2 linked regions of the Drosophila melanogaster genome follow. The protein of the gene in region 1 purifies or fractionates together with the protein of each later gene. This does not show direct contact. Each region holds a gene or a part of one and is shown in the gene's direction. Other genes may lie near its edges. The genes, in order: CG5790 and chif.

Evidence for each region.
Region 2: the proteins of CG5790 (region 1) and chif purify together in Drosophila melanogaster (affinity purification with western blotting, with the first as the bait; one study listed by BioGRID). This does not show direct contact.

The regions. Positions count from the first base shown.
Region 1 is NT_033779.5:18,292,900-18,298,084, forward strand, and holds CG5790 (uncharacterized protein), read left to right. Parts: upstream 1-1,940; 5' UTR 1,941-2,249; coding exon 2,250-4,247; 3' UTR 4,248-4,448; downstream 4,449-5,185. UniProt on the Drosophila melanogaster protein: Probable serine/threonine protein kinase that forms a complex with the N-terminal peptide of the chiffon protein and may be involved in regulating meiotic processes in the male testis.
Region 2 is NT_033779.5:16,349,529-16,354,535, reverse strand, and holds the start of chif (chiffon), read left to right. Parts: upstream 1-1,907; 5' UTR 1,908-2,509; coding exon of another isoform or gene 2,510-2,609; intron 2,610-4,252; exon of another isoform or gene 4,253-4,549; intron 4,550-5,007. Other genes in the region: CG4455 (uncharacterized protein), read right to left, coding at 983-1,323, 1,402-1,441; Hyls1 centriolar and ciliogenesis associated, read left to right, coding at 2,510-2,609. UniProt on the Drosophila melanogaster protein: A bicistronic gene producing two proteins that are components of different complexes and have separate properties and functions.

The DNA.
Region 1 (5,185 bases):
AAGAAGTCCTTGCATTGCTTATCCTAAAAAATTAAATCTAACTTTGTATACCTCATGCCTCATTACCAAGGCATTTGCAACAAGCGTTTCGGGCCAACCTATTTGTACACGGCAATCTAAGCAAATCGTTTTGTCGAGCTTAATTTGCAGTTTGCCACCAAACGAGTGTCTAACCTGGAACCCGAGCTGGCGAGGAGTCCTTCGCACTCGGCTCCTCGTGGCCATCAAGGCTAATCCCAACTGACTTGGTTGGAAAAGTTTCCGTTTGGCGCTTGCCACGACGGAAGGCGCCAAGGAAATTCGGTCAAAGGGAGTTTCGCTTGATGAAGAAGTCGTTGTCGGTGGGTGGTGGAACTCACATCTCTATCCACTCTGAAATCTCCATTGAGCTGTGGGCGGTTGGGGGGTAAGCAGCCAAGTGTTGTTCTGCATTGTGTTTTGGCCATTCAAGAATTCCCGGAGCCAACTCCAAGTCTCATTGGGCCCGGGCGCAATTGACAATAGTTTTGCACAAACTTCGAAAAGGCCAGTTGCACTTGACTGCCGGCAATGAATAAACAGGAGGTCCTGGGTCCGGAAGAACGTGGCTCGAAAAGCGGGGAAAATCCAAATGAAAACAGCGCCAAGGAAAGCATTGGGTAATTGTAATTCCCGCTCTTACATAAATGCCAGTTAACCAGTTTGCCTTGTTGGGCAATTACTTTGGTCCTGGCGATGTAGCCTCTTCGGTTCTCAAAACTTTCGTAATGACTGAACACATTAATTTCCCATTTATATTTTCGACAGCCAAATGGCTTTCTAAAAGGGCAAACTTAACTGCCAATGCCACAATTGATTTACACAAATTTAATCAGCTGTGTATACACAGTAGGAAAAGATCTACTGCCTATTACTGTAGATGCATAAAAATTGATGAAAAAAGCGCTTGAGCAAATATGATATTAATTAATTAGTCATACTAGTCGGCAAGACCCATTGTGAATTTGCTTTTTAAAGACGGCATCTTGGTGCCATAGGTGGACAGGGGGTACCCATTAGTACAAAGGCTGAAAGGTAAACGAATTATTTATTAGATTATTATTTAATTAAAAATACATACAACCAATGATAAGATACAACAAACTCATAATGATTTTATCTAGCGATCTGCTTTTAGTAATGAGGTACCGATCTTCGGTATTTATAGATCAACAAAATTAGTTCCGGATAATTACATTATTAGTAATGAAATTCTGAAAAATGTCAAATGTCTTTGTAGTTTTTAAAAGTTCATTGCACCATTAAATATTCATGTAAAAGTCATGTCAAATTTGGAAATGTATATTTCTTGCAAATATAATGTATTGTTATATAACAGTAATAAATAAACTATATTTTCCTTTACTCATAGGGAACACCTTATTTCCCAAAGCAAAATCCAATGAACAGTTGAAAAAGTATACCTCTCTGCTTGAAATAAATTCCCTGTAAACGAGTGAAATGAAGCAGCAGGACATTTAGACATAGCTTAGTTGCTCCCAATGTTTCAGCTGTTGCCGCGGAAAACTTTGAGCATCAAGTGAAAAACAAGTGGACAGGCAGCTGTTGTTGACACCGCCCTTTTTTAGACGGGCGAAACTTTGCCTAAAATGGGTGGACACTTGCAGGATCCACTCCTGCGAAGGTAAACTGCACGCGTCTGAAAACAAAAGCAAGCATGTTGCCGCTAGGTGGCGACACCGTGCAGACAATTAAACGCAACAACAGCCACATCTGCCATAGATTTTGCATAACAACAAAGCCAAAAAGAGTGCGGAAAATTTGAGTAGTGTGATAGAGTTAGTTGCCATAAATACATCATGGGAGAAGAAAGGCTTTGATCAACTGCTCAATGGACCCCTTATTAGTCGAAATATGCAGCACCATTCAAGGCACCAATAAAGTTGTTGGAAAAATCATTTCATTAAAGCAAAAGCTTTGCTCTTGTTGTCAAATAATGATTAGGAAAAAACACAAATACGTAGTCTTTATTTAGTAGCTGATCATTTTTCTAACACCAAATTCGGAAATAAAAGCCCCCGAATACATTCGAAATTATTGTGTTCATACCGCGGTTTACCGCACCAGCTTAATAGCGCTGAGCCCCAGAAACAGACCAAGAAATCGGCATTAAAGATAAACGGTTATAGGCCAAAGTTGAAAGATAAGAACTATTGGGACCATTCGTCTAGACCGTGGGCTGTAAATGGCTAGCGCATGTGCTTAATGAAATGGACAAGAAAGAAGTTCAACATCACCGCAGTCAACAGGCGATGACAAAATCTCTATACGCCATTGGGATGGGTCTTCTGGGAAAGTCGGCGACCAACATGGATTGTGCTAATACGAATTTAGAATCGGCAGGGAAGAGCTCCTCAACGAATTATAACAGAAATCGGTTCTACAACGAAAGGTTCGTTCCGATGGCATCCGGAACTATGCCTTCCGTTTCGGGCACTAACCATCATTCTAGGCATCAACAGCTCCTTCTCCAACAAGCTCCCAAGTGCACTGCCGATCTCAACGAGAAATTAGTAAAAATCAATCGGCAAAACGCCAATAAGGAGCTATCCACCATTCAGGCAAAGGATATGCAATCCGTTGATAAAAACGAAGAGGCCCTAAAAGAATTGCAGGAGAGCATTCCGGAAATCAACAAAATCTTCGATGTGCACTGTCGCATCGGCAGTGGAACCTTCAGCACAGTTCTCTTGGGAACCCTGCAGCGGGAAAGGGGTCTCGTGGAAACCCAAAGGAGGAGATTCGCCATCAAACATCATAATCCCACAAATCATCCGGAGAGGATTCTTAGAGAGTTGGAGTGCATGTATCGCATTGGTGGAGTGGAAAATGTAATCGGAATTAATTGCTGCATTAGATATAACGACAACGTGGCCTTTATCATGCCCTATATGACCCACGATCGCTTTCACGACATTTACAGAAGCCTGAATTTCCCAGAGATACGCGACTATCTGAGGAACTTGCTCATTGCGCTGCGACACGTTCACAAGTTCAATGTGATTCATCGGGACGTCAAGCCAAGTAACATTCTTTATAACCGCAGGACCGGAAAGTTTTTACTCTGCGATTTCGGATTGGCTCAAAGGATAGCCGATGATGGTAGTGTAGTGCAGTCGAGTGATCTCAGCTCCCGGGAAGTATTCTCCATTCTGAGGGACCTGGAGAATGGTAGAAGTGTGACGTTGACGGATGGCAATTCAGCCCAAGCCGAGGCTGAGGATTATATGGCCCGTCGAAGGATGCGGGCTCTAGGTGGCGGTGGGAGCGTGGAACGTGCTGTGACTGGACCTCCGAGTATACAGAAACTACGTGAGCAAGCGGGTGGACATTTGACCAAAAAGGATGTGGCCAACCAGAGGGCTGACACCATGAGGCTGCTGAACCGCCTGCGACTCGTGAGCCCAAATGCGGATCCCAACAACTACGTGGTCTCCACGAACACCTCGAAGAAGGAGATGCACGCTTCAAGGGCTGGAACCCCAGGATACAGACCCCCGGAGGTTTTGCTCCGATATCCCAAACAATCCACTGCGGTGGACGTGTGGGCGGCTGGCGTTATAATGCTCTCTTTGCTCTCTGGTCTTCATCCATTTTTCAAGGCCCCCCACGACTGCGGCGCCCTGGCTGAAATAATCAACCTATTTGGCGATATGCCAGTGCGGAAGACTGCCTTTCTGCTGGATAGGCTGATTTTGCTGGCGCAGAAGGTGAACACCTTGGATTTACGGAGGGTGTGCATGCGATTTCGCCATGCGGACTTCTTTCTGGCCCCCGAAATACAACGTAAATATCAAAGGCCCGATGGCACCACCGAAATGTGCCGCAGCTGTGAGCAGCCCACGTTTAATTGCCTGTGCAGCAACAGTGGGCATAATTTGGAAAGGTACGATGGGCTGGATATATTTCCCGCAGTGGCCTACGACTTGTTGTCCCGTCTGCTGGAAGTTAATCCCCAAAAGCGTATCACCGCCGAGGAGGCCCTAAAGCATCCGTTCTTCAGCGATCAGCATCGCATTACGCCGGGAATACCGCTGCACCAGCAGCAGCTTATAATGCACCAGCAGCAGCATATAATGCAGCATCAGCAACACCTCCAGAGATCCAGAGAGACACTTCCTTCGTCGGCGGCGCGAACTCTAAAGGCATTCGTATGCTATCCCATGGAAATTACTTCTACTGCGTCACAGGCAGCGGGTAACATCTGACTCTGATCTCCGATTATCTTTGTGTGTATCCTGCCTTCTTTATAACCAGATTGAGAGGAAGAATGCATTTACCGCGGCCACCTGTGGGCATCTAAAATTGTATTGTGCACAAACCAAAAAAAAAAAAAAAACGAAATTTTTATATGGAAGCTGCGAAATGTTCCCGAAATTAACATTAAAAATAAAATGTATATTTATGTTAATTTATGGTATTTATGTTTATTCAAAATTAATCGAGGCACTTTAGCATTTCCGGTATCTTTCTTCTTTAATTATTTTTATGCGTTTTAACTTTATCATTTTCTATCTAATGTTTGTTTTGCTCAAAAATGAAGAACAACGGGAATCAATGCTGTTAAGGGTAATAGAAATCAATTAAAAATTAAAAAAAATAAATAAAGACATTCTAAAAAATAATTTTTATTTGATATATATAAATGAGGATTTTTTGTCGATAAGCGCCATATAGATCCCATATCTATCATTGAATTCTGAAAGGCCATCTTCTGTAGTCTTTCAATTTTACGAATGTCGTAATCTCTTTCTGCCTTCAAATGATCTAATGGCAATCAGGTTTTCTTTTATTTAATATTTTACCCGACAGCCATTTTCTCGATTGGCTTTTCTAAGGCCTGAACCGAGGAAAAATTGTCCTTTTGTCTTATCAATTTGCATTATTGACGCTTACAACAAACTTTATTTTGTTGTTGCTCACAAAAAGGTTATGGGAATCTTCCCTTTTGGGTGAGTAATTTTTTCGTTTTACCATTTGTTTTTGTCCGTCAGCAGCAAAAAAAAATGCATTGCTCACTGGGAATTATGTTGACAATTTCATTCTTTAGCCCAGAAAAGAAATCAGATTTCTATCTGCTGGTTTGAATGTGTAAAAACGAAAAATTTTGGGGGTTCTGGCAAGTCACCAAGAAACGAACTTTCAG
Region 2 (5,007 bases), 1.9 Mb from region 1:
GAGGTAAAACCATTTATTTTATGTAAAACTCACATAAAAATGTCCAAAAAGATTTGTATATAAACTTTGATAGACTTAATGCTATATAACGTCTAAAAACGTTTTTTTTGACACAATATATAGAAGGATACTCATGCTGGTCTAAATGCACAAACTGAAGATTTCTTAAATGTATTCGTGGCGGCAGATTGGCGCTTAAACTATGATTGGCATGGTACAATTATTAAGTACTTGGTTTCGATTTAAGTACAACCTGTGTATATAAAGGGACGGGAATCGGCGTTTTAAAATGTAGTGCAAAATTCGAGGCATCACGAAGAGTTCGTCTGTTAGTACGATTCGGATTCTTAATGCAAATTGGGTTGCGTGAAGACGGTATAAAAAAGATCGCTAAATTCCCTTGGATTTCGAAAGAAACAACCAGGCAACGTGACTCAATTGCCACAATTTGGCTCTGTCCCACAAAAAAAATGAACAGAGAACAAAGCGGTGAGTAAACGGCTAAAACTACCTGCATTAAAAGAAATAAAAAAAGGCCAAAGATGCAGGAGGGACAAGGAAAAAGGGCCAGAGGACAGGCCAAACTTGTTGAGCCCGGGATTAAGAGAAACAACAGATAAAGAAACAGTCGGGGATGCGTAGGAAACCCAATTTACAATTATGAATGATTAATTCCCTTTCCAGCGAACTCCTCAACTGGTTATTGCTATGTGTAGTACTGCTTTGTTACGAAATTCGGTCAAAATATGGGAAAATTCTTTCAGAGCATTTCGGAACTTCGAATATGTTAAAAAAGTAATTACTTTCCAGTAATGCGAAGGGTATATAGAGATAAAATTCGAGATATTTCTTTTTAAAACTTAGGACCTAAATCTGTAGTCATACTAATGGGTTTTCGTTTCTGGCTGGCATTTAAGTCTTTTTCGCGTTACTAAATTGAAGTACTACTAAACCACTATCCTCCAGGTGTCCACACCCCGAATCAGGCCAACGTATGATGGTGTTTCTGGTCGGGATAGTTCTCTATGGATTGAATGGAGCGCGATGTGGCGGCAGTAATGGTTGAAGATACGTCCATAAACCGATATTTCTTGTCATCGCGACAGAGTAAGGGGTAGCAAATGATGCCGTAGTAGAAGACGAGGCAGAGAACGATTACGGTGAAGATGATGGCGATGATGCCGAATGTGGAGATTCCGGGTCGACTATCCAGATACTCCTTGGCCGTCTGCGGGGGCTGGGTGGTGGTGGGCGGTTCCGTGGCCTTGTAACCCCTTCGATTGTTCCGCGCTGCACTCGCACTGAAAACCAAGCAGCTGGCGCCTGCAATAACGAGATGCGTATCCGTAAAATCTGATCGCGAGGCGATTTCTTCATTTCTTCTCCCTCTCTTTCGCTCACCTAAAAACAGCACACACAACAGGTACGAACTGCGAGACATTTTTAATTTATTTCGAATTTACGATTGAGCACGAACGCGGGGCGAAATCAGTTCGTTGGCACGAGAACGGGACGCAGACGCAGAACAGAGACTCGAGAATCACACAAAGCAACAAGAAAGCAAGACAAAAACCTTTCGCGTTGCTGGTAGGGACGGACTGTCGTTGCCTATCGATACATGAAGATAGCCATCGCTGTCGATGTTTCAAATCGCAATTACAAATTTTAAATTTATGGTATATATCATAGATTCATGTTAACAAAATTGTAAGTACGTTAGTGTATATTTTTAAATGAAATAAATAAATTCAATGAATAATTAATGTCTCTCGTCACGAAAAACGAATCAATATTAAACTAGACCTTTTTTAAAACTGCTAATCCGTGACTTTTTCCCTTAAAACGATATGTGACCGCGACTCAGTCACGCCGCTTAGCAACCATCGACCATCGCCAGCCAACATAGTTATCGATAACACGACGAAAATTTGGTTGCCGAGCGTGTGTGCGCTGCCCTGTCCGTGTACACTTTATTTTCAATTGGTGAAAATTGTTATAAAACTAGCGAGGAAATATGTGAAAATAAGAAAAGGCCCAATTTCGACACTCGAACTGTGCGTGCACAATCGAATTGGCGACCATCCGACCGCGAAAACCTGATAAAAGGCATAAAAATAACAAAGGCGTTAGCAAACGAACGACGGGCGAACGAAGGCATATAGACGCTTATACCGATCGTTCCCATACAGTTGTGTATATTTAGTCATTGCAACTGATTAACTTGACGCAAGTAAATGCAAGTATAAACTCAAAAACGGCCAACGCAGAGCAAAAGTACAGTGAAAATTGGTCGATTGTCGGCGCACGAAGACGAATACGAACAAAAGGAAGAAGAAGCGAACGAAACAAACGAGAAAGAGAAACCAAACGAACGGCGATTTTGCATTCGTGTGTGTGTTTGTATGTGCTCGAGTGCGCGCGCGTGTGTATGTGTGAGGGTGGAATATAAACAAAAAATAATTAACAATACGAATATCAAGAACGATTGCTCTACTTGGCGAAAAGTAAAATGTCACATTTGCCACTAGATGCACGGGCCATTCTCCAGTATCTAAATGATTTGGGCTATAGGAACATATCAGCCGAGCAACTCCGTGAATTTCTAAAAGGTAAGCAATCCGTACAAGTGTGCGTGCGTGTGTGTGTGGGATTGTTTTTGGTTTGTTATTTTGTATGCACAATTTTTTTTGGTTGCGGCTTTTCAAACTGAATTTCAAACGATTCGTCACCATTTCAATTTGTTTTTATTTCCAAAACGAACGTGCGTACAAAGCACAGACAAGAAAAAGAGCAGCGGCACAGGCAGAAATACGGAGCAATGGAAAAAAGAAAATATAAAAACGAGTATTACTTGGAAATTGTGAATAACACACTATACATACCCATGGCACAGTGGTTTGCAGCAACAAAATTCATTCGGACCAAAAATTTAGGAATAATCGAATAAAGGCCGGCCCGACATCGAAGGAAAACTGCTTTGGCAAGGTTCACGTACTGTGGCATAAATACATTTCAGTGGAAATCCTAAACACACGGCTCTTGTGACCCCACTGTTCTGTGTGTTTTTTGTACTTGGCTTGCTAGTCATAGTTGTTGTTGCTGCTGCCCTGGGCCTGCTTTTCTGCGTTTGCTCGTGTGTTTCGGCCTCCACCACATTGTAAGCTTCATCCGCAACTTCACATGAATTTTATCCACAAACATACATATGTACGCATACAGCAGCGGGTAAAGCGTTAGGGAAATGTCGATGTGCAATTTGAATTTGTAATATTAATAGAAAAATTGTCTTACGGAATATATTTTATTTACCTAATGCACAAAACTCATTACACTCATTAAAATGTCTATTTCGGTTATTTTAAATTGAAAGTGCTATAATTTCCACCGCAACTGTATGAATTGTGTGTGTGTGTTGTTTTTTTCCCTCCACTCTCTTTTTGTGTTTTGTGCGTTTTTCGTGTTATTTTTCGCTTTACTCCTTGTGTGCTCCTACTCTTTTTCTTATTTTTCCTTAGTTGTTGTTGCTACTGCTACCGCTTGAGGGTTGCCACTAGGGTTTCTTTCGTTTCTCTTTGCGCCAACGTTTCGTTTTGTAATGGCAAATATAAAGCGAGGGCAGAAAAAGTGCCAGCGCAGCGCTGATGTGCTCGTTTTTCAGGTTATATATATATTGACGCGCGTCAGTGCATATTGGCTAGGCATACAATTTATTTGCAAGTATTTACGAATGTGTTAGTACTGTGAACGGCAGGGTTGCCGGACTAATTGTCATTATGAGTTTAATATCGGTCATCGGCCATTATGGCTTTGTCAGCTCATTCGCATTGTTTTTTTGGGAGACGTAAAAAACCAAAACAACAAATATGAATGGAATGTGATAAGCCATATTGCGCAAATTAGCAAGAAATACAACGATAAGATGCATAATTATATTTGTTAGGGTTGACTTTATAAAATTAAATAATAATAGTATAAATAAAGAAAGTACAATTTATTAAATAGAGCTTATATACAAGCCGAGGTTAGTATGAGTGATTAAGAATAAGTGTCATCACCAACTGTTTTTTTTCTTGAATCGCTATTCTTCCACATTTGTTTTTTCGTGCCTGTTTTGTAAATATAACTGGTTTTTAATCAAATGCAACAATACAGTACAATTATGTTGCAGCTGTGTCACCCCTAATTTTTTCGCGTGCTGGCAACGCCTCGCTAAGCGTAGCCCCCCGACCTGGCAGCGCTATGCTGCAGCACAGCTGCTGCTTCTTCTTCTTCCACCCGCTTGGGTCGTGTTTCTGTGTTCCATTTAGTTTGGAATTAAAATAAATTAACTCACACTTAACACTCGATGGCCTTTTAGGCAATACATACCGAAATGCATCCAAGTGCAGTTATTGATTTGATTTGTGTGTATCCGAATGCAACATTGCATAACACACATCGGGAAACGTACAAGGAACAAGAGGAAGAAGAACCACCGGGAGTAGGATTTCCCCCACAGTGATTTATTTGTTTTTATATCATTTTTCGTGGCAAACAAGTTTAAAACGCGGTTGGTGTTGGATTTCCAGCTACGGTCGAATTTTGAATAAAAATTAAAAACTAAACCAATTATATCAATGGTTATAACTACAGCTTTAGACTGGTATAACTTTGTTCCAACTAAAATTGGAGGGAAACTTTATAGGAGTGGTTCTTGTTTTTAATAAAATGTTTTTAAATATTTGTGTTACTGAAACATTTTATAAGAACATGTACAACGTATTTGGATGTAATAAGTTGGAAATTAATATTACTTAAGTTCAATTTTTTTTTTTTTGTAAATAATCATTTTTATGGTCTGATTTTTAAATTTATTTTTGAGTGCAATGGTAAAATCTTAAGTTTCATTAAATTTAACTCTACATAAAGCATACAGTTATTTTGTACTTTGTGAATTTGGTAGAATATTGCCAAAGCTTTAATTTGTTAAAATTCGACTGTAGCTCAGCTCTTCAAAATAAATTTTAA